Rattus norvegicus: one gene and its partners. Each later gene encodes a partner of the first gene's protein in a complex. Links are inferred from orthologs where the notes say so. Each region holds a gene or a part of one and is shown on either strand. Other genes may lie near its edges.

Evidence for each region.
Region 2: Cnot2 (region 1) and Cnot8 share a complex: the UniProt entries of both Homo sapiens proteins name them as parts of the CCR4-NOT complex. The link is inferred for Rattus norvegicus from reciprocal best matches to the Homo sapiens genes CNOT2 and CNOT8.
Region 3: Cnot2 (region 1) and Cnot7 share a complex: the UniProt entries of both Homo sapiens proteins name them as parts of the CCR4-NOT complex. The link is inferred for Rattus norvegicus from reciprocal best matches to the Homo sapiens genes CNOT2 and CNOT7.

The regions. Positions count from the first base shown.
Region 1 is NC_086025.1:54,023,642-54,033,937, reverse strand, and holds part of Cnot2 (CCR4-NOT transcription complex subunit 2), read left to right. Parts: intron 1-1,921; coding exon 1,922-2,047; intron 2,048-3,093; coding exon of another isoform or gene 3,094-3,272; exon of another isoform or gene 3,273-3,339; intron 3,340-3,762; coding exon 3,763-3,887; intron 3,888-4,774; coding exon 4,775-4,895; intron 4,896-4,990; coding exon 4,991-5,147; intron 5,148-7,941; coding exon 7,942-8,003; intron 8,004-8,095; coding exon 8,096-8,145; intron 8,146-9,221; coding exon 9,222-9,322; intron 9,323-10,296. UniProt on the Homo sapiens protein: Component of the CCR4-NOT complex which is one of the major cellular mRNA deadenylases and is linked to various cellular processes including bulk mRNA degradation, miRNA-mediated repression, translational repression during translational initiation and general transcription regulation.
Region 2 is NC_086028.1:42,777,690-42,788,085, reverse strand, and holds the start of Cnot8 (CCR4-NOT transcription complex subunit 8), read right to left. Parts: upstream 5,841-10,396; 5' UTR 5,801-5,840; intron 5,785-5,800; exon of another isoform or gene 5,659-5,784; intron 4,566-5,658; exon of another isoform or gene 4,492-4,565; intron 4,358-4,491; exon of another isoform or gene 4,332-4,357; 5' UTR 4,236-4,331; intron 1,453-4,235; 5' UTR 1,364-1,452; coding exon 1,247-1,363; intron 1-1,246. UniProt on the Homo sapiens protein: Has 3'-5' poly(A) exoribonuclease activity for synthetic poly(A) RNA substrate. Its function seems to be partially redundant with that of CNOT7.
Region 3 is NC_086034.1:58,486,478-58,496,773, reverse strand, and holds part of Cnot7 (CCR4-NOT transcription complex subunit 7), read right to left. Parts: intron 8,744-10,296; coding exon of another isoform or gene 8,705-8,743; intron 7,351-8,704; coding exon 7,189-7,350; intron 5,027-7,188; coding exon 4,882-5,026; intron 2,225-4,881; coding exon 2,114-2,224; intron 318-2,113; coding exon 189-317; 3' UTR 1-188. UniProt on the Homo sapiens protein: Has 3'-5' poly(A) exoribonuclease activity for synthetic poly(A) RNA substrate. Its function seems to be partially redundant with that of CNOT8.

The DNA of each region.
Region 1 (10,296 bases):
AAAAATAGCTTTAATGAAAATTTTCACATTTAATCCTTAAGAATTTTGATTCAGTATTATCTATAAGATTGAGCTACCTGGAAACTAACTTGATTTTTGGCAAAAACTAAAGTCTGTTGGTTTCTTTTAGCAACTGCTTTAGCAGGAAATAAACAGGGAGTGAGTGGTAGGTATTGCTGGCTTGCCTTGCCTCTAGGTGCTTTGGTGATGAGAAAATAGTGGTGTTGCCATGGTTATAGGACCAGAGTTAGTGTTCCTGGGCACTCTGTACGTGAAGGTGGCAGTAAGAGGAGAGGTTGTAAGGTAGCATGCATACGCCGCAGGAGAAGACCTAAAGGAAGCCCTGTGGTAGCTGTAGGCTTCTAGCTTCTGCATGTTCTGGTGGCTTGTTGAACAACTGAAGCGGACCAGCCAAGATTAAAACCATTGACAGAATGGAAGTCTATAAGCATTTGAAAATTATAGTTTTCTGGGTGTGACTTTAAAATCCGTCAACCTTCTAATTCTTAAGCAAAGTCCTATACTTGATCACCTTTAAAGAGCACACTTTTCATACCCAGTGTGTGAGGTCTGGCTGCCTCTCACATTGCAATTCAGTGTTTTTATATGCTACTATAAAGTCTCAAAATTTTAAATTCTTGGATTTTATACTGGAAAAATTATTTTCAAGACTTAAGTTTCTAGTTGAAAAATTATAAATTGTTGGTTAAAATATATTCTCACATAATACTTGACATTTAGACATGGAAAGATCTAATGTTATGTATTAAAATTTAATTTTTACTTGAAGAAGTTTATAATTAGTCATAATATGAGAGATACTAACTTATAAATTAATCAGTAAATAAAATTTTAATTTATTTTGCTTTATTGTATTTTTAATGGAAATTAAAAAAATAATTTATGAGAAATGGCTTATCTTGACCTTTATAGTTGTAATTTTAAATTATCACCTTCCTTGGTTTAATAAGTGAACTTACTTATAGAATAGTAGTTATGATGCTTTTAATTGTGAAATTTTTCAGAAAAATCAAAATTAATTGGAAAGCAGCCCTAAATCTATACATGCTTATAAAACAAGGCACAAGATAAAGAAGAATGATTGTATACAGTTAAATTGTAGGTAGAAAATTAAGTGGTTCAAAATTAGAATACAGGTTAAGAACATGAAAGGCTGAGAGAAAAATAATTAAAATAGCCAAAGTAGAGAAGTTGGGTTAAATGTTTATGTCTAATGGTAGCAGTTTAATATAAAACAAATACATACATCTTTATTCCATATATTTATTGAGCGCCTACTGTGTAACAGGCAATATAAAGTTCTGGGTTTTGATCTTTATTCCCCACCTACTCCTGATACTTAGGAGTCCATCCTTGCATGGAGCTAACAAACACATACATGTGTACACATTTTTGTTTCAAACTAAAGTATATATGACAGAAGTCCTCAGGGCTTCCTCTGTTTGCCTCAAAATCTTTCTGGACTTTTGCAAGAGCTAATGTCATCGTATCTTAGAGTTGAAGCTCCCAAGTCATCTAGATCTTGCTCCATCCAGTTTGAATGAAAAGAGCAGTTACAGCTAAACAGTGTAGTTCTTGTTCCCTAAGAAGCACTAAGTTTTATTGCCCTCTTCCAACAGGGGGAAATAATGTACAACTCCTCTCTTTTTCTACATCTCCAGACTTGGGTGTTTTAAGATGCTGGCTGTAGAATGCTTTCCTCAGTTATTAGGGAATTCATTCCATGACACAAAATCAGTCCACAGAATCCACAGTATGTGTGTCCACTGTCATGTGCCTACAACACCACACTGCACTATTAAAGAAGACGACACTGTTGTTTCCAGTGAGATGTTTGGCTTTTGTGTGTCATTGTAGATGTTTGTGGAATCAGTAACAAGTATTATCTCTTATCATTTAGATGGCAGTGAAAATGTGACAGGATTGGACCTTTCAGATTTCCCAGCATTAGCAGACCGGAATAGAAGGGAAGGAAGTGGCAACCCAACTCCATTAATAAACCCCTTGGCTGGAAGAGCCCCTTACGGTAATTCATATTCTTAGTGATGGCCAACTAAAGGTTACAGTCATGTGTACTACACACATGCGTGTTTATGTGTGCATGCTTGTATGCATTTATGTTTCAAACCAGGTTAGCTCTATTTTGTCAGAAATCTTAATTTGAAAATTGGTTTTTCTTTCCATATATCTACAATAGCAAAATTGAGTAGTAAACTTTAGTACAGAAATCTAAGTACTTGATTTCATTGCTATTCAAAAGTTATTTCTTCTATTCTATGTGCCTTAATTTATTATATGTGATTGGTTTTGTGACTTGGCTTTTGTTAGTTGCCTCCCCCTCCCCTTTAAGAGAATATATCCCTGGTGACTAATAATAACTGCGTTGAGATCTCTCTCTGAGTGAAGAGGTCTCCTGAGTCACACTGGGGCCTGGAAGACTCATGTCAGGAGGAGGGTAGTCTGAGGGCACTTATTCAGATAGGACATTTATCAACGCTAATGACCGCTGTGTGCAGCACTGGCTATCCTGCCATCCATGTGGCACACGTTTCTGCATACTGGCAAATGCCCTCTTGAAAAGCCTGTGAGAACCAGTGCTTATGATTCTGTATTTCTGTAGATTCTTGGCTATGATTAATAACCCAGTCACTCTTTTTTACAGTCTATAAGTTAAGAGATTCGGGTAGTAGAGCCTGAATAACAATGTTAAGAAAAGCATTTGCAGTGACAGTATAACAACGGAGACAGAAACATTTGTGATGTCAGCATAGCTAGATTGTTGTTACTCGTGGATGAGATCTGATAGAGGCTGGGATCGAGGCAATGATTAGATGAATTTCTTCATCAGTTATTTTAAAATGGAGCTAATATTTTCTCCATAAGGGTTTCAAGTTCCATACTTCTGCATATGAATAGAAATAATGTGTGGAGGAAAAACTTTATTGATCATGTATATCTTAAACCTTCCAAATCTGTTTTCCCAAAATAAGAGAATGTGCTGTGCCCTGAAGTTGCGTGCCTAGCTGCTTGCTTCTCAGTTGAGACGCTAATGTTGTTAACCTTTCCCCATAGGTCCTTTCTTTCATCCCTTTAAACATTCCCGTTGCTCTCCTTGGACCATCTCTAGTTTCTCCATTTCCTTCTTGAATTGTGGAGCCCCAAACTGGATTTTGTTCTCCAATAAGGGCCCGACTAATGACAAGTATAGTGGGAAGAGTATTTCCCAGTTCTTGCATGTTTTACATCTGTAACATGGAGTCCAAGAAAATGAGAAATAAAGTGGAATTGTTTTATAATTGGTTGCAAATTGCTCACTCTGTAAGTCAATTTTAAGTAGAATACTGACATGTTCTTTTAAATTTTATTATATTCATTTTCATTTGACAGCTAACTGGTGTTTATGGCATGTAGTGAGATATTTAAAGCTAGCCTATAAGCCAGCATTTTAAATATTATTACCAATATATCAAATACTATTTTAAGCACCTATATAACATTAGATTAGAATTACAGGATTACCACTTGTTTTCCTTGTATGCTTTATATGTTGCATTTTTTTAGCAGTAAATCAAAATTTCATTCTTTATCATTATCCTGAATATTAATTTTTGAGTTATCAGTTCACGTGCTTTTAAAAAGAACTTTTGGTATATTGTGATAAGCAAAGTTAGCTTCTTATATAGTTTATAAGACAGTATCACAGATTCAATTACAGCTTTCTTGATTATTTTCATTGCGTAGTTGGAATGGTAACAAAACCTGCAAATGAGCAATCCCAGGACTTCTCAATACACAACGAAGATTTCCCAGCACTACCTGGCTCCAGCTATAAAGACCCAACGTCGAGTAATGACGACAGCAAGTCTGTAAGTAGCTGAGGACATGGATGTGAGGGATATAGTTTTCTCCCTTTAGATTTGCCCTACACTAATAGCTACTGACTAGATGCTGCCACAGAACTATTTGAGCACTGTAATAATCTAACTTCTGAAGAATGTAGAAAGCTTTATAAATTAGAAGATAGCCATTTTTTTCCTATTTCATATAGGTTTGCAAATTTCTGTTGAACTTGTCAGTTAATTTAGACTTTTATTGTAGTCCCTGTCAGCTGGATCCCATGAAGTTTGATAATATAGACTTCTAAGGAGCTGTGTTTTTCTTGAGTAAGTTTTCTCCTTGAAGAATCTTTATGCACATTTTTATACCTGTGTTGATTCAGCAAACTCAGCTTCTGATTTAACAAGTGTGTTTATTTCAACATTTATGGCAGAGAGCTTTTTTCTTTTTGTATGTATGATGGGCTTAAAGAAGATTGTTGGGTAAGGACAGAAATAAGTGTGAATATTGAAACTTGATACATTCTTAGTTTATCGTTGAGGTTGCTTTGTAATATTTTTAGTATTGTAGTATGTAATTACTCTGTTATGTAGAAGTGTGCATCCACAAAGCATAAAACCCTGAGAAAGACAAAGATATTTTTCATGTTTTACTCCCTGTGATCTATGACTGAGATCTTAAAAAAAAAAAAATACTAATTTTCTCGGGATTTCTTGCCCTTTAAATGCTCAGATGTAGACAGTAGACACGGGATTTGTTTGTTTTCCATGAGGCAGTTATGGGGATACAATTTTCGAGTAGAAAACAGGTAATTACTACTAACTTAAATACAATAGTGGACGACTAGCAAGATGTTGATGAATTTAAACTTAGATATTTAACACCTCTAATGTCACATTTTCCTTTTTCATGCTAGAATTTGAGTACATCGGGGAAGACGACTTCAAGTACAGATGGGCCCAAATTTCCTGGAGATAAAAGTTCAACAACACAAAACAATAATCAGCAGAAAAAGGGGATCCAGGTGTTACCTGATGGTGGGACTCCATAAATATGTCAGATATTTTAAAGTACTTTTTTTCCTCTAATTTTCTTAATATAAAGTAAAAATAACTGTGTTTTTCTTAACCAGGTCGAGTTACTAACATTCCTCAAGGGATGGTGACGGACCAATTTGGAATGATTGGCCTGTTAACATTTATCAGGGCAGCAGAGACAGACCCGGGAATGGTACATCTTGCTTTAGGAAGTGACTTAACAACATTAGGCCTCAATCTGAACTCACCCGAGTAAGTTTTTCTTCCATGTTTGTACATATCTTCTAACATATAATAGATTCTCATACTGTTAGCTTTTTCTTTTGAAAAATGCCAGGCAGGCATGATCCTGTATCCTGTGCTACCCCAGAGAGCCTCAGACTTGTAACTAATCTCCTCATCAGCCTGCTTACTCCTGGGCCATTCCTTCTAGCTAGTCCATAGAGCACTGTCACTGAGAAACACCAAGGATTCATGTACAAGCCATTTGGGTCTCTCCCGAGCCACATCTTTATCCATCTCATAGTTCTTGTCATTATTTGGAACTGTGGGCTCACCAGAAATTTAACTTGTTGCCTGATTTCTAACTATCACCATTTCCCCTGTCTCTCTTGTGGCTGCGACTTCTGTATCATTTGATCCTATTGGGACTTAGAGCTCTTCTGCCTTCCTCGGTGTTCTTATCTCTTCGGGTCTTTGATGAGCTCACTTCCTTCTCACCATTAAATTTTATGGTCAGTCATAATTGCTCACTTGCATGACTGCCCTTCTCACTTCTTACCACACTTGCACCTTGGAGTCTGTATCCATCGTTAAACCTGTTTGTTTCATTCCTGACCACCTTCTGGTTGGACTACAGAAAAGCACAATTTTATTGTCTGGTCTTGCTGCACACTCATGCTCAGGAACTTAAAACTGAGTCCAGAATTTTACAGGCACACTCCTACCTGATGGCACGACCCCTTCAGAACCTTTTGATTGCTTTTGGGTGTGTTTGTGTTGTTGGCTGGTTGTTGTTATCCTGTGTGACTGTTTTGCATTTCATCAAGCCACTAATAGTGTTTCCTCCTGTCCATAGCTCTAATAATAACCTGCTTCTATTTCTACTTTACAAAGACAGGTGTAAGCAAATAGAAGAGGGCATTAACCTTGTCCTGCCACCAGTCTAAATCTGACATGCCCTTGCCAAAGTATTTGGTCCATGCTTCCTACTTAAAACTTTGTAAAAACTCGTGAGTGTGCATCTTGACTTTTTCTCCTTTCCCTGGTGCTGGCATCCAAACCAGTGTTGTACACAGTAAGCAGGCATTTTACCTCTGAGCCATGTCCCCCACACCCGCCAGGACTTTGGAAATGGTTTTGCTGCTGTAGTCCAGTGTGACTCCTTAACTAAGCATTTCTGCTTCTGTCTGAGCGATGATATTACAGACACATGCCATGATTTCCTTCCAGGTTACTCTGTTTTGTCAATTCCAGTCAGTAGAGATAACTTATTTTTCCAATCGTATCAAAATACATGATCTTGAGTCAACCACCTTTAAGCTATCATCACATTTTTAATTCACTATTTTGAAGCAAACCATCTCAAATGAATCATCTTGATTTTTCTAATTTGTCTTCTCTCACTCTATTAAACCCAGTTTTGCTAAGATTCTGTTCCCATGGTTTCACTAAACTGTGCATTACCAAATGATCTCCCTAACTTCTGTGGACCATGATCTGCTCACTTTCTCTTGGTGCTCACTCCTCACTTGATTTTGAAGACGTCATTCTTACCTGATAGCATTGGTTCATTCCTCAGTCTCCCTTTCACACCACCTCTCCTTGACCTTTGGATTAGGCCTCTCTGTCCTCTTGATGATCTTATCTAGACTTGTGCTTTTAAGGACCACATAGGTTGAAAATTCCAAACACATATTCCCATTGAAGACTTTTTTCTTGAATTTGAGATTTTAGATACCTTTACTAGCTAAATATCTTTTTAAGATTGGTTTAAATCTACACTGTGTCTATGCTCTCTTGGTCTCCATTAATACTTTCAGAAACTTGACACCATCCTTAATTCTCTTCTTCCTTTTCTCTCAGATGCAGTCTTCTAAAATAGGTACAGAATCCAATCCTATTCTCATGAAATTGCTACCACCCTGGTTTGTTGCCTGAATATTCTGCCAGCGGGTCACTCGGCTGGATCCTTGCTTCTCTTCGTGCTTTTTGTATAGCTTTATAGGTAGCACTTAAGATCATTCTTTCTAATTTAAAAACTCCTCCTTGACCAGCAGCTCTGCCATGTTTGTTCACATCATCCTGTCTTTCTTGTCCCTGGCTGCCTTCTACTGCCTTTCATGTCACGTCCTGCCTCAGTTGTTCTGATATTTGCCTTGACTACTACAGTGTTCTACTAACTAATTACCTGTGATTATCTCCCTCATATCCTTGAATATTTGTTTAAATCTAAGCTTGTCAAAACCAACTTAAACTGACCACCCTATTTAATTATACAAACAATATTATTTATCTGTTATACTAATTACTTGCCAATGTCCAGTTCACCATACACTTAAACAGAAAGTAAGTTTTCCAATATCAGCAGCCTTCATTTTGATCCCTTGACTTATTCAGAGCACCTTGAACAGTTCTGGGGGCATCTAATAGGCACTCAAATCCATATTTAGGGAATCTGGCTGCTCCTCATTGCAGGCTTGAGTGAGGGGCATGGAAAGTAATGTAATTGGAGAGTAGTGTAGAAATGAATTTAAAGCATTGTTAATTATAGCACATTTAGAGTAGACCATTTAAAGTTTATGCCTAAGTATATTTCAATGTGATGTGCTTTATTTTCTATTCTAAGATAGTAGAGGGAGCACTCCTGTGTTGTTTTTCTGCTATAAAGTTGCAGTATATTTAATAAAGGAAACCAGGAAGGATGCTTACTTTTATATTTGAGTTATTTTTTCCATTTTCCTGAAATTAAGTTAGTAATAGTTTTCTACTTCATTCTTTAAAGTGGCTTCTTTTTTTTTTTTTTTTTTTTTTCTTTCTTGTTCAGAAATCTCTACCCCAAATTTGCATCACCCTGGGCTTCTTCACCTTGTCGACCTCAAGATATAGGTAGGAGAATCTATTTCTATTCAGAATTGTTTTAAAGATATTTTCTAAGAATCCGTTAATAACACTTTTGTTTGTTTTTTTTTTTTATGCAGACTTCCATGTTCCGTCAGAATATTTAACAAACATTCACATTAGGGATAAGGTGAGTGTAGCTTTCTGTCCTCAGGCATTCATTTTATCTTCTGTCTTGGTAGGGCTTTAGGTTCAGACGGTATGCTGATCTACTAGTAATCTTAGGGATATGCCTCTGAATGCCATTCACATATGTATAACAATTCTATTTTCTTTTTATTAATAATATTAATGCTGTAGGTCTTATTTTTTTTTTAACCAAACAGTGTTAGGAATGATAAAATAGTTCCTGTAATTAATAATTATAACCTTAAGTATAGTGAATGGAAATAAACTAACTTGGAAAATATAGTGATTATTTTATGCCCTTATTCATAAGAGATTTTATCCAGATAAAATGTTTTTAATAGGACAACCCACAAACACCCTTTTGAAGTTACCTGACATCTTTTTCACTGTGTGCTGTACCAGTGCTGTAGACGTGAGGTCACAGTTGCCTAAGTGTTCCATAGCCTTTCTTAGGCCAGTGTGAAAAAGTACTGGAGAGTACAGTGCGTTCACAGCTGCCACCAGAATAGGAGGACATGCTGGGGGGAGACTGACTCACTGGGGTGCTGCAGAAAGGCCATGGCACTGACTGTAGGGAGGGTCAGGTAGACCCTGTATGTGGGTGGATACTTCAGAGGCTCTGTGTGAACAAGAGGCTGAAGATGATTGCATGTACCCTGAGTTTATAGTTGTGTAGGCTTTTTTCTACCTTGTGGAAGGAAATGTGAAAAAGTTTCCTTTTAGGCATTCAATTAAACAAAATATGAGTACTGTCTCGAATTTTTATGCTTCTGCTGTGTGATGTGCTAGGAAGAAATGATTTGTGAACTGTTGCATGTAGAGTCAGCTAGCACTTACAAACCTGTGTGTAGCTGGAATTCCGTGGGATATACAACTCAATTTTGAATTTAGGATTGGGGTTCAACAAATAGCCGTGTTTATTTAAATGGAGAAACTCTTAAACTCTGACTCGCTGATAGTTGTCTAAGCTAAATAAAGGATTTCTGTTTGTCCTTTGGATTTTTATTTTAGTGGTAACAGTTGTTTTTTGAAATTTTTACATTTGTTTTACAACTTAGCATAATTTGTCTTTTGTAGCTGGCTGCAATCAAACTTGGCCGATATGGAGAAGACCTCCTCTTCTATCTCTATTACATGAACGGAGGAGACGTATTACAACTCTTAGCTGCAGTAGAGCTGTATGTTAACGTCTCATAGCACTTTCTCCTCAGCAGATCCTAGATAGTCTGAAGGCTTCTAAAATGATGATGGTTATGGGTTTGTTGGGTTTTTTTTTTTTTTTTAATTGAAAATTCTTCATTCCATGAAATGTAAGTTGTTAGTGGGGATGTTGTTGGGGTTGAAACAGCAGCTCCAGACCTCTGCTTCATTCCTGGGTCAACAACAAAACAGTATAAAGAAAAGAATTTGAATTATCTCCATTTTTAGTAAAATGAATTTTGTTTATTTTGAGAGCATAGTACAGCTTTATAATCATTGTTCTATAAAAAGAATTTTAAACTTGATGTCAGCTATCTGAAGTGACATGCGTGGTGAATTGAGTTTTTATGAGTTATAAAGCAGGACTCATATAGTGGTTCTTGTAGAATCAGATGTTTATGATGAATAGACACAGAATCTCATTATTTCATACATATCAGTGGTTACTATATAGACAGTATTCTGCATGTCTGTGCCTTTAAACCAATACTAAATTGTCAGTTTTTTAATTTCTCAGTTGAGAAAATTTACTTTACTTTTTCCCCATTTCCCTCTCATTTATGTGAAATGAGGTTAACACCTACTGCTTTTAATCTAGTCACAATAAGTAAACTTAGTGACTGTCTCATCCGTCTGTAATGTCATTCCTGTCTGTGAACTAGCGAACTGTTTGCAGGAAAGCGTGTATTTACATGGTGGTTCATCACTGTGGGACATCTGTCCCTTTGGATGGTGCTATCCCAGTCTATAAGTGCTGTAGATCATGTGCCTGGCTTCTGGTGATCTCTTAGATTCTGACGATTTATTGTTTACATTTAAAAATTTAAACTTTACCAAATGGATATTCTATTATAGGTATAAAGTTGTGTGGATTTAAATCAGTGTTTTACTTGATAACTTAACTTACCTTACAAAAATCAATGGATTGTTTCTCAGTATATACTTCAATTTC
Region 2 (10,396 bases), on another chromosome or scaffold:
AGTTGTCATGTGTGTGCTGTGATTGAACCCGGCTGGGTCCTCTGGAAGAACAAGTGATCTCTCTAGCCTCAGATAGGAACTTCCAGTACGAGTTAAACACAAATGCAGCCACGCAGATGTGGTGCTCACAGCAGCTTCACCCCTTCACACCAGCTTCCTGCTGTGACTTTCGGTGCACGAGAAGCCTGGCTGACAGCCTACTGTTCAGAGCTCCCACCTTGGTCTCTTGTTTGGTTTTTTTTTTGTTTTTTTTTTTTTTTTGGAGTTGAGGACTGAACCCAGGGCCTTAAGCACTCTACCACTGAGCTAAATCCCCAACCCCGTCTCTTGTTTTTTAAGAAGGATAAATGCAGCCTTTCTTTTTCTTGAGTGACTATTTCACTGCCCTGTGTACATAAAACCCTTTTTATCCTTGTAAAGCTCAGACTGGCCTATACTCACTGGTCTTGAACTCCTGATCCCCACCCTCACACCCACTGTTTGGGATGACAGGATCTTAACCGGCTGGGAGGCCTGTGAGGCTAGTGCCTCTTTTGGACAGAGGAGTGAAGGCAGGGTTTGAAGACAGACAGTAGCAAGCGCCAAGCCTGCAGTGGAACTGAACACCTGCTTGCTCAGGGGCTAGCCTAAGAAAAGCACCACCTGACCCGACATCAGGCAGGAAAATAAATGAGGCACTGATACCAGTCCTTCCCACTTTACCCAGAGACGCCAGAGCTGCAGTGTGACATTGCCTGCCTAGTTCGTGCTAGCAATAAAATGTGTGAATATTTTGAAAACACAGGCCGAGCATGTTGGTACATGCCTATAATCCTAGCACTTGGGAGACGGAGGCAGGAGGGTCAGAAAATTGGGTCATCCTCTTGAAACACAGCAAGCTCAAGGTTAGCCTGTGTTACATAAAACCCTGTCTTCAAATTTAAAAAATAAATAAATACCACGTGTTCAGGTTCACTATGTCTAAGGGGCTGGGGCAAGTCAGACACTAGAGGACTTGCCCAGCTCCACACACACTGGGCACAATGGTGCACACATATCTCAGCACCAAGAAGGCAGAAGCAGGAGGACAAGCACAAGGCCTGCTAGGCAAAAATAAAAATATAAAAACTTTCCATCAGAGGAATATTACGAAAACTTGTGTCAGAAGCTGTGCCCTCCTCAGAGACACTAGCTGCCTTGACTCACAAAAGCATGCAGGTTCCAGTCATTTTAGCCTCCCTGGCTTTGGTGGGGAAGGCCTACTCACCATGGCGATGTAGCTGTAGCTGAGGACAGTCTCCCGGATCTTCCGCATCTCCTCCTCAAGATTGCTGGCCCACACCTCACAGATGACCTGACTGTTTTCTACAAGTGCCGCAGGCATCCTGAAGGCACCTGAGGAGCCACTGTGAGCCAACTATGAAAAGAACAAGCCCCCTTCTGCTTGATTTAATCTTCCACACTGGATCCAATCTAGATTTAAAGACATTTAGAAACCACAGTAAGTTTACATCGTCGTGTAAGATGTAAACACATCAGTGTTAGGCTGACTCAGTGACCCGGACACAAGGTCCTAACACTCAGCAGGCCCAGGAGAAGGATGCAGAGTTTCAGACCAGCGTGGACTACATACTGAGTCCACTCAAGGTCAACCCGAGCTACACAGCAAGACCCTGCCTGAAAACACACACACAAACCAGCCTTACCATAGCTTCATTAACAGTGCATTAGGCACCCACTACCTATGGAGTGCTTGCACTGGCCTTTGTCAAGTTTGTTCTCTCTCCATACAAAGAAAACGCTACCTGTTGACCTGAGCCCTTAACAGGACATTAAAAATGGAAAGTTATGCCGGGCGTGGTGGTAGGACTTGCCTTCAATCCAGCACTCGGAGGCAGAGGAGGCAGATAGATCTCTGAGCTTGAGGCCAGCCTGGTCTACAAAGCAAGTTCAGGACAGCCAGGGGTACACAGAAAAACCTGTCTTGAAAAACAAAAGGGGCTGGAGAGATGGCTCAGCAGTTAAGAGCACTGACTGCTCTTCCAGAGGTCCTGAGTTCAATTCCCAGCAACCACATGGTGGCTCACAACCATCTGTAAAGAGATCCGATCCCCTCTTCTGGTGTATCTAAAGACAGCTACAGTGTACTTATATATAATAAATGAATAAATCTTTAAAAAAAAATGTAGACACAAGACCCTCCCATCCCTTTTTTTGTTTTCTTTTTTTTTTTAATAATAATAAGAATACAATAAGAATACAAGGGTGGTAGGACTGAAGAAATACTTCCAAGGTTAAAAGCACTGGTGGCTCTTACAGAAGACCCAGGTCCAGTTCCTAGTACCCAAATGGTGGTTTACATTCAATCATAATTCCAGGTTCAGGGGATCTGATGCCCTCCTCTGGCCCCAACAAGCACCAAACAGATACATGGTACACAGACATTCTGTAGGCAAAACATTTATACACATAAAGTAAAATAACTAAAAAAGAAGAGGTGGCCAGTAAAAATAATTCAAACAGGAGCAGACTGGCTGATGGCGCACACCACAGTATGTACTCAGCAGGATCAAATTCAACATCACCTCAGCTCCCAGTCACTACAGCAAACCAGCACAAAAGGCTCACTTATGAACAGAACAGAAAAGGCTTCTGATAGCGCTTAACAACCTCAGGCTTGATCCTTGGCCCCAAAACACACACACACGCACACCCCTAAACACAAGTTAAAGGCCAGTGTAGCGATACAGGGAAACCCTGGGGAGAGAGGTGCATAATGGCACAGAGCTTCCTTATGAGGCGAAGCCCACTGTATGGATCCTCAACAGGACAGGTAAAGGTGAGCTGCAGTGCACATGCGTGAAAACTTCAGCAACAGTAAATGAACGTGAGGGGTTTCCAAAGCCCAGAGGAAGGAAAAGCCTTGTCTTCCAGCTCTAGAACTGACATACAGTAGACTCCAGAAGACACTGAGGACCATCCTCAGGGCTGGCTACTTCTAAAGAGACCCGTTCGTTCACTCAAGGCAATCTATTCTTCGCAGGAGCTTCCCTGAGACTGAACACTGAGTGGTGGCTCTCAACATAAAGAAACATGTGGCAGCTGCCTCCTGAAGGCACAATCCATTTCTTCTCCGGTTTTTCTTTTATTAATAAAGGCTGGCAAGTGAACTAGCAGAGACTAGGAAAGATGCTCACTCACAATGAATGCCCAGTAAATTCAACTTCCTGACAACTGAGAAAATGTTTACTCCAGACTTCTCCAGGCCGGCCTCTGAACTTGTAAAAATCCTCCTGTTTCTGCCTCCCAAGTGCTGCAGCTATCAGCATGAGCCACTGCACCTGGCTCTTGAAGTCACTTCCCATGTCTGGTTACTGAAAACAACAACCTTGTTTCCCTAAGCAAGCCATAAACTACATAGCAGGGAAGTGGGTGTCAGTCCTGGACTGCTGAAAGTTGTTTCCATTAAAACACAGGCATAAAGAAACAAACTGCCTAAAGAAAGAGTTTGTTTCGGGAAGCCAACCACTTTCAAAGCTACTGTTACATTATTATCAGGTAAAGGGCAGCCACACAGGAGCAGACACTGGCAAAGACACACAAGTCATCCCTGCAGCAAACCTTTCCCTAGCAAATCTGTGCAGATACGATCGGCAGATTTCAGCCCAGGAAAGGCAGATCCTTTCCAATGAAGAGGATGCCTGTGCTAAAACTTGGAAAGTTCCAGATCAGCCTTGGCTTCAGACCCTATAATTCAGATAGATCCACAAGGGATCCTTTGCAGACGTACAAGGGAGATCACATAAGGCACATTTTACTAAGCAAGTGAACTTTTTGGCATGCTGGCCACAGGGAAGAGAGAAAACAGCAACTCCACACAGGCAACCAGCCTCCTCCACTTTCCACCCAGGGAGCCCAGGCTCTAAGAAGCAGCACACTTCTTTTCTTCAGCCTCTCTTTCCCATACCTCAGATGAAGTGAGTCTATGTTTTCAAGTACAGTTATTAGTATAACAGCCCCTGAAGTAACCTCATTATTTAGGTTACAACCAGAAGAGCAATAATGAATTTCACGACTTAAAAAAAAAATGGCATCCTGAGCTATATACACTCAGAAATAAGACAGCAATCCCACGCTCAGGAGGCTGAGAAAGGAGTCACCAGGCCAGTTGGAGGAGACCCTGCTTTTATTTCACTGTTCTGTTTTGTCCTTTGAGACAGGTTTCTCTCTGTAGCCCTGGCTGTGCTGGAACTCACCGTGTACACCAAACAGGCCTTGGATTCGGAGATCCAACTGCCTCAGCCTCCAACTGCTGGGGTTAAAGGCAAGTACCACCACAACCAGCTGCGACCCTGTTTTTAAAAGAAAAGAAAGCAAACTAAACCAGTCAGTGAGCCAGCTGAGCAACTTGGCACATGTGTACACACAGATGATGATGATGATGCAACTTGGCACATGTGTACACCAATAATAACAAGAACAACAACAACAACAACAATAATAATAAAGGGGTTGGGGATTTAGCTCAGTGGTAGAGCACTTGCCTAGAAAGCACAAGGCCCTGGGTTCGATCCCCAGTTCCGAAAAAAAGAACAAAAAAAAAAAATAATAATAATAATAAAGCTTAAAGCAGAATGAGGGCTGGAGTAATGGCTGAGCAGTTAAGAGCACTTGCTGCTCTTGCAGACCAGAGTTTGGTTTCCAGCACTCATGTGAGTTGGCTCACAAATGCCTGTAACTCCAGCTCCAGAGAACGTTGACACCTTTTTGGCCTATTTTTGCCACCAACACACATGGCATTAATTGCAAATTCATACACTAATAAACATTAATCCCTAAAAAAAAAATCCTTCAAAGTTCTTCAGGAAGGTTCAGAGGTTGAGGCTGCATTCTCCTCTAAAGATTTATTTTTATTCCATTTATTTATGAGTATGTGAAAGAAGGGTTGAGTGCATCAACACCTAAGCGATCTCTCCAACTCCTTAAAGGAAAATTTTGATCCCATGTAATGTTTGCCTCACAGGCTGGCTTTAAAACTTGATCCCCAATCCAGCTACATTTGAAACTGCAAAGCAAAAGGTGTTCTCACACTCACATACATACACACACACCTTGCTCTGTGTTCTCACACACACACATACACCACAGACACACGCACACCCTGCCCTGTGTTCTCACACACACAGAGACACAGAGACACAGAGACACAGAGAGGGGGGGGGGAGTGTGTGTGTGTATGCGAGCGAGCAAAACAATCTCCTGATTGAAACCGCTCCTGATTATCCAAACTTCGGAGCAGGGTCTCTGTGCACCCAGGTGAGCAGTAGTGCAAGAAGTGCAAGCAAGTGAGAGCTCAAGAAACATGCTCTCCTTGCTAGCCTTGCAGACAGTTCAGCTGAGTGTCTCCTACTTGTCTGGTTTTGTTTTCGCCAGAGCGTCTGGGAAACAAAAAGCTTCACTTCCCTGTTCCAGAAGACTAAACAAAAGGCTTAGCCGAGCAAGACCGGCGAAGGAGGAAGCAGCGGCCCGTTAGAAGAAATGGCAACAGGTCCCCTCTGGAGCGTTCCAGGCCACAGCCCTGAACTCAGACGGCACCCCATCCAGCTTGCTGGCTACCCGAGAGCGGCTCTGCCACGCAAAGCTGCAGCACCCCAAGATCCAAGCAGAGAGGCCTCTTGCCTTCCCCCCGCCTCCTTAGGCCTCCAGGCTGGACTTAGGGGACCAAGAGCCCCCCTAGCCTCAGTGTTCCCGTGTGTAGGATGGGTCGCCACGGAGGCACTTCCGCCTCGAGCTCCTACCCTGGGCAACCCAGCCTGCTTACCCTGGCTGGCGGCCCCGCCGAGTGCGGGCGGCAGCGGCCCTTGACCCCGAGCTCTCCTCCCTCTTGCCCCGGATCCGCTCCAGGAACCCAACACGACAATGAGACGCAAGCCCCGGAGCCCAGAGCGGCCTACGATTTGCAACAAACCAGAAGGTTGAGCCTCTCTACCCTTCGGCCCTCCCGACTCGCCTACTCTTCGCGTCACTCGAGGCGTGCGCGGGCCCGCCAGTCTCGGCTCCTCCCCCAGTGCGCGCTCAGATACACGCGCTCCGCCTTCTTGCGCAGGCGCAGAACGAGAAAATTAGGGTTTTCGGAGGGCGCGTGCGCAAAACGAGGTATGCCCTGCGGCCTCAGACGGCGTCAAGCTGTGTAAATTGGATCCCCTTCTGGGTTCTGAAATATCCTAAGTCGCGCCTCGGGAGAAGACGGAATCTAGAGTTGGCCCCACTTCCTGACATCAGGGCGTATTAGGACTATTGGTTGGAGGTGATGGTGCAGGGAACATGGGGTGTCCTGACCCTCGATTACTGCGACCTGAACTCCTCACTCAGAGAACATCTATCCATAGAACCCCTTCTGAATGGCCATTAGGTGGGGGTTTGGGGGGCGCCACCAAATTAAGTCTTAACTGAGGTCAGCTGAGCACTGCCTCCCAGGACCTAGACGGAACGTTGTCTTGGCAACCAGCTAGCATAAGCAGCGCTGCACCCGGGCCTGTGCAGAGAGAGGGGCCAGTCCCGGAGAGGGTTCAGCTGGCAGCGAGGCCATGCTGGGATGCATCGCCATCTCGTGCTCTCCCACGCGGCGAGAAGACTAAGGCCTCTGAGGACCGCCTCCTCCTCTAGCGCAGCTCCAGCCTCCATCCCTGGTGCTTCCTCTCCAAGGGGCTCTGTAGGTAGGCGGACAGCAGGTGTCCCCCTCTGACGTCCCATCCCCCAGTTACTCTGCCCTTTTTATGTTAAACTTTTATTCCAGAAGTTTTTTTTTAACTTTTATTTATTTGTTTATTACGTATAAGTACACTGTAGCTGTCTTCAGACACACCAGAAGAGGGCATCAGATCTCATTACAGATGGTTATGAGACACCATGTGGTTGCTGGGACTTGAACTCAGGACCTCTGGAAAAGCAGTCAGTGCTCGTAACCGCTGAGCCATCTCTACAGCCCCAGAAGTGTTTTTTTTTTTTTTTTTTTTTGGTTCTTTTTTTTTTTTTCGGAGCTGGGGACCGAACCCAGGGCCTTGCGCTTCCTAGGCAAGCGCTCTACCACTGAGCTATACTATCTAAATAAGAGCTAACCTTTTGAACTATTACTCCAGCCAGAGAAGTGAAATCTCACAGCCAGCCTCTGGGGTAACAATGTCAAGGACAGTTTCTGAAGCCCAACCTTTGCTGCTTCTCTCCAGGATCTGTAGAGACATAAGATTGTGATGAGGGGGCTGGAGAGATGGCTCAGCGGCTAAGAGCACCCGACTACTCTTCCAGAGGTCCTGAGTTCAATTCCCAGCAACCACATGGTGGCTCACAACCATCTGTAAAGAGATCCGATGCCCTCTTCTGGTGTATCTGAAGACAGCTACAGTGTACTTATATATAATAAATGAATAAATCTTTAAAAAAAAAAAAAAGATTGTGATGAGGAAGGCAATAGCCATCACCACAAAGAATGAGAGGTCTGTGTAGTTAGTAACTGTAACTGCCGTAGATTAACTCTGCAACAATGTTGATGGCACTGACTCCACGCCTGGCCTCTTTTGACGTGTTCGGGTTGTCTAGGCTAGTTAAATGCTGCCTTCCCTCAGTTGGCTGGTTCAGTACGAGTCTGTGCTCTGTTCTGTGATTCAATTCAGGGGAGGATGGACCTAGCATGTGCTAGTCATGTGAGGAGCAGCCTCTGAATCCGATTCAGGAGAGGTTGGACCTATTATGTGCTAGTCACGTGAAGAGCATGGAATTTTTTTTTCTTGCCACCAATAGGCCTGGTGTGTTCTGAAAGAGTTGAACAGGAAACACCTGGTTTCCCCCGACACCCTTCACCTAGAGCTTTTCACAGAATGTTAATTGTATTTCAGAAGGAACTGGAGTGACTTTCAAACTGCAAACAAGAGAAACTAAAGTTTGAACAAATTTCTTCAACTGAAAAAGCATAGTTTTGAAAGTACAGAGAAACATGGTTAGAACATAGATCTTTTCAAGAGCTGGGCCGTACCTCTCCATGGGCAGCCTGGATTCCTAAATGTTTGGTTTTGGACCCTGGGACAAGGGATTGAAGTGCATATTTTACACATCAAAGCAGATCTGGCCTCCAAATTCTCCCAGCATCCCTCAGTCCCTACCTGGCACACCCTGGCCCCAACCTTCAACTTTCTAGCCCAGGGGCTGGGCTGCCCTTCCCACAGAGGCTCCTCCCTATATAATCCAGCATTTTGGTCTCTCACCTCCTCCTCTTCCTCTCTCTGGGCTAGTGCCTCTTTCTCTCTTTCTCCCTCCCCTATCGCCCCTCTCCCTTAAAATGACCTTGGTCCTTGGTCCAACCAGAACTTCCCAATAAACCTGCCTTTAATCTAATCTGATTTAAATTGGCGCTCATTTCACGAGGGGCAGGAAAATAACCTATCACTATTGTCTCCAGTTCTAAACAAAGGTATGCCTTGCTCAAAAAGAAAAAAGGTACAAAGAGCGACTTTAGAGCACTGGCTGCTCTTCCAAAGGGTCCTGAGGCCAATTCCCAGCAACCACATTGTGACTCACAACCATCTGTAGTGGAATCCAATGCCCTCTTCTGTTGTTTCTGAAGACAGCAACAGTGTGCTCATATACATAAAATAAATCTTAAGAAAAATGTACAGGTCTGGAGAGATGGCTCAGTGGTTAAAAGCACTGACTGCTCTTCCAGAGGTCCTGAGTTCAATTCCCAGCAACCACACGGTGGATCACAACCATCTGTAATGGGATCTGATGCCCTCTTCTGGCATGTGGGTATATATGCAGCATACATACATACATTAAAAGAGCACTCATACATTAAAAATATATATAAAAAAAAGAAGAAAAAAAATTTTTTTTATTTTTGAGGCAGGGTTTCTCTGTGTAGCCCTGGCTGTCCTGGAACACCACTGAGCCATCTCTCCAGCCCTTCTTAATTTTTCAAAAAAGATAGTTCATGCCTGTTATCCCAGAACTGAAGAAGCTGAAACCAGAGGATTACCAAAAGCTCCAGGCCAAACAGGACTGAACAGGAGATATTGTCTCAAAATAGATACTTTTTTTTTTTTTTCGGAGCTGGGGACGGAACCCAGGGCTTTGCGCTTGCTAGGCAAGCACTCTACCACTGAGCTAAATCCCCAACCCCAAAATAGATACTTTTTTAAAAAGTAAATATAAAGACAGGTTAAAGGTCAGTGAGAGGGTTGCGTGGAGAAAGGCCTGTCCCCAGGACCCACATTCTGACCTTCACGTGTGAGCCACAATGACCACACACACACAAATAAATACTCCTGAAAAAATTTAAACTGACAGATGTGGTGGTACATGCCTTTAATCCCAGTGAGTTTCAGGACACCCAGAGAAACACTGAGAAACACTGTCTCAAAAACCCTTAAAGTCCTGGTACCCAGCCTTCACTTTACACCTGGCTCCTTTGTCTTTCTGTGAACGTGGGCCTGTTTATAATTTATGGAATGTCTCCTAGGCGGAGACCAACCAGATCACACTTCCCTGCTTCGTCCCATAGACTCTCCTCTAGATAAAGACCGACCAGACCATGCTTCCCCAAGCCTGCCTCAGTATACAGACCTCTCACCCAGACCCAGTTCTCTGTTTAAATCTGAAGTTTGTATCCGCGCCTTCAAAGATGGCAGAAATTTTTAACCTCCCACATTTCCAAAACAGCTATTTCAATGAAACCTCTTTTAGCCTCCAGATACATGCATATTTCTTTCTAGATATTTGAACAATTTAATTGTAGCTGAAAAGGTGGTGGGGGACTCCTATGTAAGGATTTCAGGTTTTTTGTGTGGTGATGGTGGAGGCTAAGCCCAGGACCTTCCCAGCAAACACTTTGTCCCTGAGTCCCAGCACCAGCCCCTACTTCATTCTTGGTAGCCTATAACCTATATTAAATCTGTTTTTATCTATATTAGATTTTTTTTCTTTCCTTCATAATCCACTAAAGTAGCATTTCTTTTTTTAAATATTTATTTATTTTATGTATAAGTACACTATAACTGTCTTCAGACACACAGAAGAGGGTATCAGATCTCATTACAGATGGTTGTGAGCCACCATGTGGTTGCTGGGATTTGAACTCAAGACCTCAGGAAGAGCAGTCGGTGTTCTTAACCGCTGAGCCATCTCTCCAACCCCCTAAAGTAGCATTTCAAATCTTTTTCTTTTTTTTTTTTTTTTTTGGAGCTGGGGACCAAACCCAGGGCCTTGCGCTTGCTAGGCAAGCACTCTACCACTGAGCCAAATCCCCAACCCACAGCATTTCAAATCTTATACTATTCAGAGAATTTTAAACTTCAAAAAAGGGGTTGGGAATTTAGCTCAGTGGTAGAGCGCTTGCCTAGGAAGCGCAAGGCCCTGGGTTCGGTCC
Region 3 (10,296 bases), on another chromosome or scaffold:
AGATTTAACCTGAATGTACTTTAATTTATTAAGATCATAGCTAAGAAAGGCCATACTTATTACTGAAAGCAGAAAAGAAGGGCTACCAAAGGAGGGGCAGGTATTGCCTATTATTTAAGGGATGATAAAACCTATATACAAGCATGTGTGTAACTCGTATAAAATAAAAATAAGAAGACTATTTCCTGTCACGACTGCTTGCTGGCTTCCTCTTCATATGCATTCCCTGTGCCGTTCTGTACATAGGATGAGCCAGAACCAAGGCCGTATAAGTGGCCACAGTATTTGGCATCATCAATGTGATCTTCAAAGAACATCTAAAAATAAAATCGAAAGAAAAAAATCATCTTAAGCAAATGATATGACCTGTAGTTTATATCTCAACATTGTAATTGCTATTAATTAGGTAGAACAACTCTTTCCCGTGATGTTCCCTGGAGAAGCTATACTGCATATTTAACGAATAAGACTGACTGACGCCCTTCACTACAGGGCTCAAGGACCCTTTAAAATGCAAGTCTTTCTTTTTCATTAACATTTACTTCATCTTAACGAGAATTTATGAGCATAAAAACATGCAGACCGTTTAATTTCTTTAATATAACAACCTTCAAAGAATGAGAGAGATAATGGCAGAAGAAGAGGAGATGTTACACCATTTTAAGTTGTCTTAAGTCTAAGTGCAAGGCTGAATTGATTAAAATTAACCAAACCCTAAACATGTTATAGATAGTAAACACCTGAACATTCTCACTACATTGCCAGCCTTGAAGCCAAGGGCAATAAAGCTAACAAACTGGTGCCAGAAACTCACCATTAACTAGCTATAAGGCATTTTTAAAATAAAAATCCAAAAGGTGGTTCTATATTGAAACTAAACAATTTACTTGCGTAAGTGGACAATTCAAGTAACTTCTAAATTGATACTACCTGGCAACACAGATCAAATGCTTTGTATCAATAACATACTTCTACCAAGAGAATACACTCAAAATAATTCCACAGCAAGTATTCTGTAAAAATGTGTTTCTGTAGGTACATTATATACATACATACATACATACATACATACATACATACATACATACATGCATTACATGCATGTGTGTGTGTATGCACATACACACACACACACACATACACATACACGATTTGTACCAAACCAAAATAGGACACAAACACATACACACACTTGTACCAAACAAAAAATAGGATCTATATGTGTGTGTATGTGTCTATAACTAAATATTGTTTTATTACCACCAGTGAGGTAACCGTGATATCTATCACTAGGATGGTTATCTATCCTAAAAACAGACTTCGTTCCACTACACATCACCCTTCTACTCCTATCAATTTTATTCTTGAAGTACTTAATGGGGGAATTCCTGAAATAGCTTTTAATTCAACTATATATCAGACTTTAGAGTTAATTAATACCTATAATTCAAAAAGCCCTTTAAGACTTAGTAAAAACTTTAAGTTCTACTTTATAAAACCCTCAAAGCAAAGAAAGACGAGCAAATCTATTCTCACCACCATTTTCAAGAAAGAGAAGGTACAAACTAAGGAAACTCTGACACACATTCCCTGACTCAGAAGGGCACTTGTGGGGTCTAAGAAAGGCCTCTAGTGGGGTTGGGGATTTAGCTCAGTGGTAGAGCGCTTGCCTAGGAACCGCAAGGCCCTGGGTTCGGACCCCAGCTCCGAAAAAAAGAACCAAAAAAAAAAAAAAAAAAAAAAAAAAAGAAAGGCCTCTAGTGTTCCCTCACTAACTTTCAGCTTAAAGTCACTAGCCTCTGCTCTGTCCATCTAAAAAACAGTATGTTCATATGTACATGACTTCTACAATCACATAATCCTTTATTCTGTAAGCAACGTATTTCAGAATAAAAGAATTTTTTATTCTATAAAGAATTTATTATCTTTCCTTTTTGGATGACATTTCAGGAGGACTTATTTAACACTTTCATTCAAATGTGGTGGATGTAACTTATATAGTACCTCTATTTATATCTTCACTTAGTAGGTTCTTAATGCCCAAAACTTTTGTCATCAGACTTTTAATGTTCTCTACCTAACAACCAAGAAAAAGGCACTGATGTCTTCATACTTCTCTCATTTTGAAAAAGGCCATTCCTGTAAGCAGTGAGTCAGATCCTGCCTGGTGTTGAGGTCCTATCCGCTCCAGCTCTAACTGCTCAGCAACTTCCTGCAGTCCACCCTAGAGGGAAGAACAGTCGCTTGTCAAAGAGAAGACTTTGGGACTGGAACTCACAACTATACATTTAGACACTGACAAAAATATGAATAAGTTTTTAATATGTAAAGATTAACCTTGTAAAGATGGCAAGGGGATTGATAAAATATTAATCTGCAATACATTTGTGGACCATAAAAGCCTTGTTACCAAATATGAAATTCTAATAGGAAAATTTTATCTTAATTATACATTTTAAGGCATGTGACAAGCAAACAATTTTCTACAGATATGGAGGAAGTAGATCAGATTCAGGGTAACAGGTATTAGTCACACTCAGTGTATTGTGCCATCACTCATTAAAAACTCAGTATTGAGTACAGGCATTTCCTTTTAAATATCTAGGCATCCCCTGAAGTATTTACAACTAAATAAAACAAAGACAGCACGAGTGTTCAGACCACTGCTGTCAGTCTGCCACATAATGTTCATTTTCTCAACTAAGAAGAGAATTTTACAGATATAACTCTTTTAGAATGGTTTGCTATGATATGCTTACATTAATATAGCCATGACTGAGAAAAATAAAGAATGTGAAAGGAAAAGAGAAGAAATAAAAGACAGACAGAAGCAGACTACTACCAATCAACGCTCTCCTTAAATTACAAAGGCTTTACTAGCAAGTCAGGCCCTCCGAAGTCCCATCCTAGCTTGATAGGACTTTTGCCCACCAACTACTTCTGTGCTAAACAGCATTGTGTGCACTATGTATCCTTAGCAGCCACTGGTAATACAGACACAGACTAAATGTGAACGACTGGCAGCACCTTATCACTAACATACACTTTCAGTGGGAGCAGCTCACACAGCACACAAGAAAATACTTGATATATTTTTAGGCATTTCTGAATATATAGATGAGTAAAGAGTTAGGACTATTTATGAAAACTATTATCATACCAAGCTGTCAATTAAAAAAACCAAAAACAAAAACGTCAGAGCCAGATCAGACTTAGATTCTCAGCATGCCACCCATCTGTGTAAGCAATCAGAATACTCTGCTGGAGTTCACTTATGAGGAAACCTCAAATGACACAGAATTCTACAACTTTCAGCTGATAGTCTGAAATAATCTTGCAAAGAACTTCTCCCAGTTATATGGCACCACACCTATATTGGAGGCAAACACCTGTGTCCTGCAATTCTCAGTTAATTGTTGAAATCAAAGCTTACACATTCACTTTTCTAAAGCCTAAAGAAACTTGACCAACCTTGGTTTTACTGAAGAGAGGGACAATACTGGCTATAAATACACTTGTTTCCTTAGTTATAATTTAAATATCACACTAAAATCCAGCAACTAAAAACCCACTCACTGTATTGCCAGGGATCCGTTGCCAACTCAGGTGAATTTGCTCTTAAACCGAAGTACTTTAATCAGGAAACATTTATTTTGTTCAAAGGTTAAGAATAAATGGTCACATATTTTAAGTAGTATCAGAATAAGCTGCTATCTATATGGAAACTACATATTTACTATACAGTACTTAAACCTAATCAGTTTTAGCTATGTAAATAATAACATACTTCAACAAGAAACAATAAAGAGTCTCTAGTCAGGAAAACCACGTTAGAACAGTATTGAATGTCGCTGCCCGCTGCTCGTCAACCACAACCTGTATCTTTAGGATAGTTCTGTGTGCTGGGAGTGTGAGCACCGCTGTAATAGGCCCAGTAAGTGTGCTATACCTCATACTTTCGTTTCAGTTCATGATTCTCAATCTGGCATCAATAACAAAAACCTGGCCCTTAGCTTGACTTTTTAAAAAATTTATTCTAGGGGCTAAAGAGTTGGCCCCTAGAGCACTGCTGCTGTGGAGGACCAAGTTCCTAGCACCCACTGCAGCTAACGAGTACCCATGACTCAGTTCCAGAGGAGTCTAGCGCTCTCCTCTAGCCTCTGCTACCTCTTACTATGAACGTCCACAGAATGTGTGTGTATATAAAATATATTTAATGTAATTAATATATTAATCAACCTTATTCTGGGCTGGAAAGATGGCTCCGCAGGTTAGAACACTTGATGTTCTTGCAGAGGACCCAGGTTCAGCTCAAGCACAGCATGGTGGTTCACAACCATCCATAACTACAATTGTAGGGGACTGGATACCCTCTTCTCATGTCCTCAGACAGCAGGCACACATTTGGTGCATAGATACACATGCAAACAAAATACCCATATACATAAAATAAAATTTAAAAAATCTATGACAAAACAAAAACCCAACCAATCAAAACATAAACCCAAAACAAACCTTCTCCTGTCAAGATGAACACTGCAGCTTGGAAGAGGGCCGTCTACTACTTAAGAACAACAGGATCAGATAATATAACTGTGTTTAACATGATCTTTAAAACATGGCTTAAAACATTCAGGCCTAAGATATTATAGAAGTTACTTGGTCTAAATCACTGCTTCTCAACCTTCTTAATGCTACGACCCTTTAATACAGTTGTGTTGTGCTGACCCCCAACCATAAAATTATTTTCACTGCTTCTTCATAACTGTGATTTTTCTACTGTTACGAATCATAACATAAATATCTGCGTTTCCCAATGGTCTCAATCGATCCCTGTGAAAGGGTTGTTCAAGCTCCAGGTAAAGTCTCCCGAAGCCTCACCTTGAGGTTCTTGCAGCTCTTCATGAGGTACTTCACATCATAGATGACAGGGAAGAATAATCGAAGGATCTCAAAGAAATCAAGCTCTTCTTCAGGCAAGTTAGAGTTGGTCAGAATTTTGATTAAATAGCCAAAGTCATAACCACTAATAAAAAGATTAAAAGAATACAGAAAAAATACATTAATATCATGAAAGACCTAGTTTTTCAGGTAGAAAGCTAAATAAGTCATACTACAGGCAAAAGGATTAACAACAATGTGCAAACAGGAGCAATGAAAAGAGAAACATTCATAACTGTAATGCAGAAATTCATCACTCAGCATCTTAAACACATGATATTATCAATTTAACTCTATAGTCATTTAAATAATATTTTTCTGATACGTAAAATTCTGGGCTGGGGAGACGCTGTTCAAACATGAGTACCTGAGTTTGATCCCAAACGTCCAAGTAAAATCTGAGTGTTATGACCACCATATACACATGCAAGTACACACCTCCAAAACATAGGTTCAGTAAGGTCACTGACACGATGAATGGGAAGGTATATGAAAAATGCTATAAGCTAGCAAGACTTAATGTTTCAAAGGCAAAAACCATGTAAAACCTTGTCACCATTTACATGAGATGGTGACACTCACCAATTTCAAAGAATAAATCCCTAACAGAGTATTTCATTTCCACTAAGTGACTTTATTAGGATGTACATTCCCCCAAATGTTGTTTCTATATCAGTATAACTCTCCAAGAGATAGTTATCAATGGGAAAGTTAAATATGGCAGGTAGGAACCAGGGAAAAGAACTGTTTTTTAATACAACACCATCTCTCCTTCTGCCTCAAATTGAGGTCACACATCCTTATCACCAGTCTTTCACCAGCTGCCTAGGTCCCTCCACTCCTGAACTCCTTCGACGTTACTTTCTATGATGGGCCTGCGACAGCAAGCCTTCCCTCAAGTGCCCAACCCAGAGATCTCTATACAGACAAATGTCTGCTGTACATGGACCTTTAGGTACATGGATTTTCTCCACTGGTTTACAGGAAAGGAATTATAGCTATAAAATATCTTTTTCTCACCTATAATTTGAACTCATATTTGGCAAATGACCTTACTGAACCTATCTTTTAGAGGACATACAAGATAAACTTTTATTTGATGTTTATTATTTTACTTATAATTTGAAAGGGGAGTTTTACCATGGAAGATCTTTGGTACATGTACCCAAGAGCAGAAACTTAAATTCACTAATAGTTGGCAGAAGTAACTTTGCCAGTTCTCTAAAATACAGCAATATGGCTTTGCTTACTTCTAATAAAATGCTATAGTTTAGAATTTATATACATACTATTTAATTTTTGACAGTCTTCATTATATAGCTCTGGCTAGGCTGGAAGAATAGGATGGCCCTAGATTCAAGAGATCTACCTGCTTTTGTCTCCCAAGTACCATGACTGGCAGAATTTATAATTAAAAAAAATAGACTGATTAGACTTTAAAGACATATCTTTGATATTGAATGGACTAATCTAGCTTGTTTAATATTTAAATCCTCCTTAACTATCCGGTTTTATTTTTATAATAATAATAAAGAATTAAACATCATCACATACAGAGTATATAAAATGAAATGCTTTGTATGGGTTGTAATCAACCACTGAGAAATATCTGCAAGACATTTTTTCTAAGGATAGCCTTCCCAATCACCTCATCAAAACAAAACCAAAAAGCAAAATAAACAAAACAAAACCAAAAAACCTCCTACATATCCGTTCTTGGTCTTGTCTTTGTGGATCAATTCTTCGTAACACTTATTATTGTATAACATGCCACACTAGACACTACGTCATTCAAATTGCTGCTTTACCTTTAGAAGAATGGAAAGTACATGGGAGGGAAAGTTTTAGTCTGTTGTGTTCAGTTTTAGCATCTCAGCACAGTGGCTAACATCAGGAAAGTACTATCAAGTTTTTAAAAAATTAATACCTCCCTTTATATAAACATAAACTAAGACTTAAAAAAAAGGTTAAGAAGGAAGAGGAACACAAATCCTCAATAGCTTTGCCAGATTTGAACGAAAGTTGGTTGTAGTTTACATTCTTTCCACTAAGCACCAATCCCTCCCCCAGGCTAAAACACATGCCTTGCTAAAAGGTAAACGTTCTCAGTGAGGTATTACACATGCTCGTGGCAGTTAACTCACTAGAACTAAGCAAAGAATTGCTGGTATAGTGACCCAAACAGGTATAAGGCAGATATATGATGGATGCATATTGCAATGTCCCCCCCACCCTTTTATTTTTTACCTATGAAATGATAACCATTTGACCCCTTCACAGAGAACCACTCCTGAGGTCATAAGAAGTTCTGCAAAATACTGGGTCTCAATCCCTTCCTCCTCATGTTTTTTAAACTGGATGCCAGACGTTGTCAGTAGCTCTATAGAGTCCTGAGCATACATGTCCTCCCTGGCAGGAGAGAGAAAAAAATGGTCAAAATTTCCATTATCAGTTGTTTTCCACTTACGCCTACAACTATAGTGCAGAAACAAGACAGAGGACTGGTTTATGTCCAACCATTCAAATGCTTCACAATGATCAAGAAAAATAAAATGAAAAGTATCCAAGAAGTAAATAATCATTTGAAACAGTCCAATGGTGAGTTAACCCTTACCATCAACTCAATCTCATCAGCTTCTAAACATTATATAAATCTCACTGGACTTAAAAAGGGTCTTTTACTCACCAGAGGCTACCACAGACATGTTCTTTTCAGTCTCTGCAGCTAGTTTAGGGCTGCCAGATGGAGCTGTAGCCACAGCCATGAGGGGTTATGCACACCTCTCATGCTCTCAGCAGAACCAGGAAGGAGACACCAAGTGGCCAACATCTCTTGTGGCTGAGTTAAACTACATTCCATCTTAAAGAGAAAGGAGACGCCTCCTCTCACAAATGAGGAGCCTTTCGGTGGCTCTAGTAAGCAGTGAACTGTTCAGAATTAAAGACTCAGTTATGACATCATTTCTCCTTCCAGCAATCGCATACAATTAGAGGCAAATACAATCCTAGACAGATGACCTTAAACCAAGCCAGGAAGCCTAACTATAAACCAGTTCTGCACATTTCTACTTAAAGCAGAGGAAAAGCTACCTGTAATTTCTGAGCACAAATACGTTAGGTATTATATTAAGAAGATGAAGATTCATAAAAAAGTATCTTGTGGATTTACCATTTATTTTTATTTACTTATTGTTAACATTAACATTGCTTTCTACCATTAGCAAAAGAAAATTTCTATGAAAGATTGCAATAAAACTAACAAAACCAAAATAAATGTTTATCTTTGACTAATTGTATTTTTGTAGTTTATTCTCTGGAAATCAATTTCAAAGGTCAGTTTTAGTTTCCAGACTGTCAAGAACTAAATGACAAAGTTAAGAATTGAAACATTTAAAAACAGAAAGGAGCCCTAACCATCACTTTACATCATGACTTCTCTTGAAAAATCCTGTAGGAAAGATATCAGAATAAATTCCAATGCAGCCCCGCCTCAGACCCTAGTTAAATATCTCATTATACTAAGATCATGTCCCTTAAATGAGGTCCTTGGGCTCACACTGAACCTGTTTAAACACGTTTAACCAATCAGACTACAGCAGACTGTTCTCCAGGCTCAGGCTGCTCTTAGCCACATGCTCAACTTATTTTATTACAGTAACATTAGGTAACCATTACCAAATTAAATACTGCATCGATGAGGTAGGGTTTGTAAGTCATTATTTCCCCAACTTGCCCAATGATAATAATCACCAGGGGAACTTACCAAAAATATGGATTCCCAGGTCCCAATGCAGTCCCAGACCTATTGAATCACAATTCCCAGGTGAGAGACCTGGAGCAATACCTCGGTATTTTATAATAAAGTAAGACTGGCAAACAAAGACATATGAACAGGCCCTTTCTCTCTTCTGCAAAATATATATAATTCAAGTCTAAGCTTCGTAGAATGAGTCTTTTATAATAAAGTTTGGTATAGATCTCATGCTTTATAATACCCAACTCATAGCCTTATGAGTGAGGTCAAACTCTAGAGAGGATGAAGGAAACTTTCTACAGTAAGGGGAATTCCATAGCAATTAGGAGTCCCATTTCCAAATCAGTGTACTATCCTTTTCTTTAAATGTTCTATATTCTACTTTCTCTACTCTTAAACATTAAAGCAATAAAGGGGAAAATACTAACACTAACGTTAAAGGGTAACTATAACATTGTTTAGTCAAAATCTAAAAATTTTATCTGGTGTTGACTATTGCCTGTTAGATCTATCGTTGAGATTTAAGGTAGCAAAATCTCTAGTTATGACAGAATATGAATGAAAACCATGTAAAAACCTCCAAAGAGTTCCCAAAAGGCATAGGTATATATGGCTATTTTCAGTTAATATCCTAAAGATGCACTATCTACTAATTATGTAAAAATACCAAATTTCCTATTTTTATCATCTGAACCAACCCTATTATAAGAACTTACACTTCTAACATGTGTTCTTACCAACATTTAAAGAATTTCTGGATTATCCCATCTGGATACCCATCATAGGGTTGATACAATACCTTCTTCAAGTGTCATTTACTTTCAAACAGACTTTCCTTTAATAAGTCAAGTGTACTTTCATAAAAATATCAACTCCAACAAATTAAAATTTATGATAAAATCATCAAGTTAAAATACAGATAAGCTGGAATGCAGATAGTTATACAGATGGTTAGCCATCTTTAGTTTTTAATAAATTAAATTAGTAAACCCAAATAAACTCAAATAATAAAAACTTAAATAAATTAATAACACAAAAAATACCTAAAATTGCAAAGGCTATGAGTGACAAGAAGACAACTAAAAAGGAAGTATTCTCACAAGTCCAATTAGCAAGCTATTCACAATAGGCTATTTACTCTTCTGATGGAAGAAACTGAGCACGAGTTTCCAACTTGCAAAGGACTACAACTTCAGAAAACAGTAGCAAAAGCCTGCTTGTTTCTTAATATGCACATATGTGCCTAGTTAAAACTTAAATATTCATTCTGGGAATAAATAAATAAAGCTTAACAATGTTTTCAACTTTGGATTGAGATCTCTACTTCCAATAAATTAACCACAAAGTTTCCAAAAGATATACAGATCCTCCATGATTAATGTTATGTCCTGATAATATCATTAGAAGTTAGGAAGACAGTATCAAAAAGGTGAACATATTATTAGATCACCTACATGGCTTGGCAGCAGAGTACAATGTAAACTATCATATGAGAGAGCAGCCAGCTGTAAGCAGAAGCCATAAGCTTCCTACTGCTACCCAGCACTGCAGCAGAGTACATAGTGCTGCTGTAGAAAAGGAACAAAATTCAAAAGTTAATG